Medicago truncatula: one gene and its partner. The main gene of each other region encodes a partner of the protein of the gene in region 2 in a complex. Links are inferred from orthologs where the notes say so. Each region holds a gene or a part of one and is shown on either strand. Other genes may lie near its edges.

Region 1 (2,683 bases), on a different chromosome or scaffold from region 2:
TGCTAAAAGGCAGGTAAGGAGAACTCTAGAAGGAAAAATCGTTTGTGAGAAACCCTTGGAAAATAATACAATTATCCACATATGGCAGTGTTTAACTGAATCATGCTTCAGGTTCATGAGGAGGATAAACCAAGGAAGAATTGGAGAAATGCTCCATGGAATCTGCTAGGTTTTCTACTTTTGCGTACGCTACTATTATCCACATATGGCAGTGGAAGAAACCAATCACAGTTATTCTCATTTGTGGCTCCAAATCCATGTTTTACGGATGGAGAAGTGCAATGCTGATAATTCCATCAGACAGTCTTTTCAGTAAGTATGATATGAAAAAAAATCTAAAAACAAGTATGGTGACTTCACTCTATTCAATTACATTGCACTCGCTAATCGATATCCAATCATATATTGAACACAGACTCTTCTAATATCAAAGACTGAACATTTGTAGGACTGGAACACCCCACACCAAAATCATCCCACCTATAAACATACCAACCATTTACAGTTGAACAACACATACAGCATATGCAATGCACTAAATCAGTGCTATTAAATACCGGCGCTACACCACTATAGCATAGCGGAATTTGGACAAATTGCTTTTATTCCACAATACGCTATTTAGTACAAAATGTTGTCATATAGAAGCTATAATGGCGCGATAGCCTTCTTTCATAGCGGAGTTTTAACAATAAAACATCATTTTTTTGGGCTGACAAATGCTAAGAGGATCATATAACTTCAACTTTTATTTCAACATATCCAAGCAGTAGTTTACATAATATATCACTAATAAACTTCATTTAAACTTTCACAACAACAAAATTACATCCAATTTAATCAAAACAATTGCATTATCCAAAACATTTTTTTTCTTACTCTCATACACAAATCAAGTGACTAAATTAAAAAGGTACTAAATATTTACTTTTTCTTCTTGCCAGCAACAGTAACCTTCTTACCCTTCAATGTCCTGCAATTGTTCTTGGTACGTTGTCCTCTACAAGGAAGTCCCTGAATATGCCTTATTCCTCTGTAACACTGAATCTCCTTCAACCTCTTTATATTAAGTGCATTAAACCTTCTCTGAAATTCACAAAAAAAAAAAAACCATTACAATTACAAAACAAAATAATAGAAAACAAACACACAAAAAATGAGATTTTTACCAAATCTCCTTCAATCATGTATTTGTTAACTTCATCCCTGAGACTAATAAGCTCTTCTTCACTCAATTCCTTAGTAACTTTATTCTCCATACTGATATCAGTTAGAATCTGTCTCGCTCTGTTCCTTCCAACTCCATGAATGTACTGCAATGAAAATTCAATTCTCTTGTTGTTTGGAATTTCCACACCACCAACACGAACACACACAATGTTCAGCCTTTGAACCTACAATTCAATCGGAATCAAAATCAGAATGGAATTTGGAATTTATCTTGAATTATGAAACCCTAATTGTGTTACCTTTGACTTTGGAGTGTTGAGAACTGGGAAGGAAACTCGATTGGAGAAGTGAGCATGGCCTTTGGAGATGATTGAGAGTGAAGGTGCCACAGGCATTGAGAGTGTTTGTACCATTTTTCTGTTCAACTGCGAAATGAAGTATTCACCATAGCCATATCCTTATCATTATCCCCTGAGAATTGATGTTTTTTCCTCTAAAAACACAGGGAAAATACGTTTTTGTCCTCACCAGTAGTTACGTTTCTGCTACGGTTAACTACCGTTGGCTTCCAGCGCAGTTCATTATCGTTGACTCAGCTGCATTTAAATTTAGTGTCCGCGGCGGAGCATCAATTAGTTTTAGTCCTTGCAAATTTTTGTTTTTGGTTTTTAGTGTCTTCAAATTTATCATTTTTTTCTTTTGATCTTTATTATTTTGTTTTAATCCATGCAAAATTAATTCATATTAAAACTTTTATTCATGTGATATAAATGATACTTGACTTTAACACTTAAAATATTGACTAAATAAATATTACACGTTTCAGTTTAAGTATAAACATATTTTGGATTAAAACAAAACTATAAAGACCAAAAGTTAAAAATGATATATTTACAAGTACTTAAGAAAATTTAATTTTTTACAAGCATTTAAAAACAAAAACTTATACATTAAGAGACACTCAAAATATATTTGAACCAAAGAATTATCGATATGCATAATTGTAAAGGACGTGGTATGAAAAATCCAATGAGATAACTAGGCGACAATAGAAAAATTTATTCAATATCAATGTAAAACTGTTAAACTTGTTTATAAAAAAAAAGCTTGTTTTACAGTGATAATGCAAATCCTTTAAAGTCAAATATAAATTACTATTCTAGAGAGTAATTTCTTTGTTCTTTTTTCCTTTCTTGCTTCTGTTTTTTTTTTTTCTTTGCCTTCGTTTCGTAACAAAAAAAAAAATATATAATTCCAAACCTCATGCATCATTTATATTTGACCTAATTTGTTTATGATAATTTACTTATATTTAACCAAATTTTATGATAGTCTATGCTAAATCAAATGTTTATGATAGTCTGTGCACACGTCACAAAATATTTACACTAGTATAATAAAAGAGAAATTTATATTCAACTCTATAAAACTAACCAATCATGATCAATAATTTAACTTGTAAAAAAAATCAATAATTTATGTAAAAAAACAAAAATTATGATCAATAATTTCA
Region 2 (3,296 bases):
TATTTATAAAGTATTAAATTAAATTTAGAGAATCCCCGTGAATTTAGCTCAGTTGGTAAGGACAATGCATAATATATGCAAGGTCCGAGGTTCAAACCTCGGACCCCACAAAAAAAAAAATTAAATTTAGAGAATTTCAAATGTCCAAAAGCAAGGAAATTTCAAATTTCTTCCTTCTTATATTTTATTTTTCAAATTTTGCAAGTTGATCCCCATATTTTTCAAAATTTTGAAATTATCCCCTGAAAAATTTCAAAAAAAGTTGCAAATTGGGCTGATTTTTTTTTAAAACGACAATTGACCCCTCAAAATTTTTCAAAATTATAGTTTGACCCCCTTACAAATTTTGAAATCTGTTAATTGGCCCAAAAAAATAGAATTCATAAAGGTAGCCCAACAATGATACTTTTTGGATGAATTAAAATCATTTTGGTAAACTATATTGTTTGAATGATAATTTGGAGAATTGTTATATATAAAATTCATGATAATATTCTCAATATAATAAAAATATAAATTAGCAGAAAATATCTAAATAGAAATTATTTTAACTTCAACTCAATTTTTTCCTAAAAAAAAAACTTCAACTCAATTTTAATTAGGGATGATAAAATGGGTTGAACCTGTTTAACCCACATTTTTTAGCGAGCTGAGTTGGGATTTTGAACCAGCTACGTGGGGTGTTCGCTCCGCCTAATCAACTAAAAAATGGGGCGGTGATGAGGTGGGGTGGGTTGGCCCGTTAGATTAACATTTAAAAACAAACTCTCTTTTTTACTTCTTTTTATTTATATAAAAGTCACAACTCATAATTAATTTTTCAATTTTCTCCTCCTATATTGGGGAAAAAAGTTCAATTTATTTATCACTTTTGTTTCATGATTTTAGCCTCATATTTTTAACGGTTAGTCAATTGATTACTAAATTGTTTCATGATTTTAGCCTCATATTTTTTACGATTAATCAATTGATAACTCATGAAATTTTTATTTTGAATGTCTTATTGATTTATTATTGATTTTTATTTAGATGATGCAATTTATATGTTTGAATTATTTTCATATTTATAGAGGAGTCATTATACATTTAGATTTCCTTAAATTGACTTAAGTTTATATATTTTTACACTATTTATGTGAAATTTTTAATTAATATTTTTTAAAAAAACATTGACAGCTCAACATGTCAATCTTGTAAAACAGGGTATGGTAAGATTTTGAACCCTACATCTCTTGTGGCCTATTCCTTTTAGACGAGTTATTGACAAAACAAATCAAAATCAAATTTACAGAATCAATTTATTTAAAATTAATTTTTCTTTCTTTCATAAAAAAAATTAATTAATTTTTCTTATACCGAGTGAATTCTACACTGCGCTGTGTGCACGCACTGAGTTGGCCTTATCTGACTCTATCTTTTTTTTATCCGTTCTTTCGCTAACAGTTCATCTTCTTCTTCTCCTAAGCAGAAGCATCAATGGCATCCTCTTTACTCAATTCAATTCCACTCTCATCTTCTTCTTATCTCTGCACTCCTCACACATGTTCACCATTTCGTGCATTTCCTGAATCAATTTCCCACTTTCACCAAAACAGGAACAACTTTTCCATTAAATCACAAACCCTAGACTTCTCTGGTTCTTTCTTTGAAGGTGGATTTGGTTCGGGTGATGACCCGGTTACTCCCGGAACCGGGTTCACTGCTGTGGAAGAGAAAGAAGAACCGCAATGTCCACCTGGACTCAGACAGTACGAAACCATGGTTGTTTTGAGGCCTGACATGTCTGAGGATGAGCGTCTTGCACTCACCCAGAAGTACGAGGAGGTCAAATTCTTAACCTTTTTACTTCTTTCTCTTACCTTTTGTTTCTTAAGTTAATCCATTTGAAGCTTGATGATGAGTAGGTTTTATATATGTGTGTGATACTATACTAGAGGCGACCGTATTTGTTAGAATTGCAATCAATCCGCAAACTGAGAATTCGTATCAACAAACATACAATTGCTAAGGGCTGTCTGTACATGAATCAGTATAATTCTGTATCACACCAATACTAACTACATGATTCAGTGATTATTTTATTTGCATTCACTATGTTTGTTTGATTTGTTACCTTGTTTCCATTCTTTCAAAACAAACACTTTACACAGTCATTTCATTTCATTTCTCTGCTTTGTTCTTCTGAAAACATAGGCAGATAGGCTTTGTTCTTTTCTAATTGGAATAAAACACTAATCCTAACGATTTTCCTTCGTGCAGCTTCTTGTTGCTGGAGGTGGCATGTATGTAGAGGTTTTTAACAGAGGTGTTATTCCACTAGCATATAACATCCAGAAGAAAAACAAGGAAGGAGAAACCAACACGTATATGGATGGCATCTACCTCCTATTCACCTACTTCACGAAGCCTGAGTCCATAACCGCCCTTGAGCAAACATTATTGAGGGATGATAATGTTATCCGATCAACAAGCTTCAAAATCAGAAAAAGGAAATGTTAGTTTATTTTGGCATCTCCAGTAGCTCTGAAAAAAAGAATGTAACAATCATCATTTGTTGTTGTGGTATGTTTTCTTTCATTTTCATATGGATTCAAGTATTTTTGTAACAAGGTTGGATTAAACTAAAAGAGAGATGTAGGTGCTATTACTGGCAGTCTGCAGAGTTATAACACCTAGTACAAAGTGCTATATATTAGCCAATTTGCCATTCGGTTGTTCACATATCAAGTCTAAATTTTCATATTTAGAGGTAGAAGTTCATTTTGTTATCTTAAATCATATTAGGAAGAAAGTTTACAATGACTAGTGATGAATTGGAGAATAATATTGCTTAATTTCATAAATTGAGAAGGTGAAATGCATTTCTACAAAAAGTTATTAGAAAAAGAAATTACAAGAGAATGGATCAAATGGCCTGTAAATTTACCTTACAAGCGACTGGAGTTCCTTGGTTTTCAACCGGATGATAAAGTCATAGCAGTAGCAGGAGGGAACTGCTACATAGCAAATGGAAATAATTTATATTTATTTTTGCCGTAGTATAGATGTGCACTTTACCACTAGCATGTTGATTGTGACGCCGAAAATGCATGCATCTTCGTTACTTGAATATCAAAATATAAAATCGTTTATGACACCGTTTGTATTTATCTCTATCTGTCATTTACTTTAAATCTTCTACTTCTACAACTTACACACATTTAAAAAATACACAAAAATAAAAAATACAATTTACCATCAACATAATTGCACAACACACAATGCTAAATTCTGTAGAGAGATTTAGATTTTAGCTA

What was found.
Region 1: 30S ribosomal protein S6 alpha, chloroplastic (region 2) and 30S ribosomal protein S13, chloroplastic share a complex: the UniProt entries of both Arabidopsis thaliana proteins name them as parts of the 30S ribosomal subunit. The link is inferred for Medicago truncatula from reciprocal best matches to the Arabidopsis thaliana genes AT1G64510 and EMB3137.

The regions. Positions count from the first base shown.
Region 1 is NC_053044.1:36,447,109-36,449,791, forward strand, and holds 30S ribosomal protein S13, chloroplastic, read right to left. Parts: upstream 1,633-2,683; 5' UTR 1,584-1,632; coding exon 1,470-1,583; intron 1,395-1,469; coding exon 1,170-1,394; intron 1,087-1,169; coding exon 925-1,086; 3' UTR 777-924; downstream 1-776. UniProt on the Arabidopsis thaliana protein: Located at the top of the head of the 30S subunit, it contacts several helices of the 16S rRNA.
Region 2 is NC_053049.1:46,338,493-46,341,788, reverse strand, and holds 30S ribosomal protein S6 alpha, chloroplastic, read left to right. Parts: upstream 1-1,369; 5' UTR 1,370-1,476; coding exon 1,477-1,824; intron 1,825-2,259; coding exon 2,260-2,499; 3' UTR 2,500-2,719; downstream 2,720-3,296. UniProt on the Arabidopsis thaliana protein: Binds together with bS18 to 16S ribosomal RNA.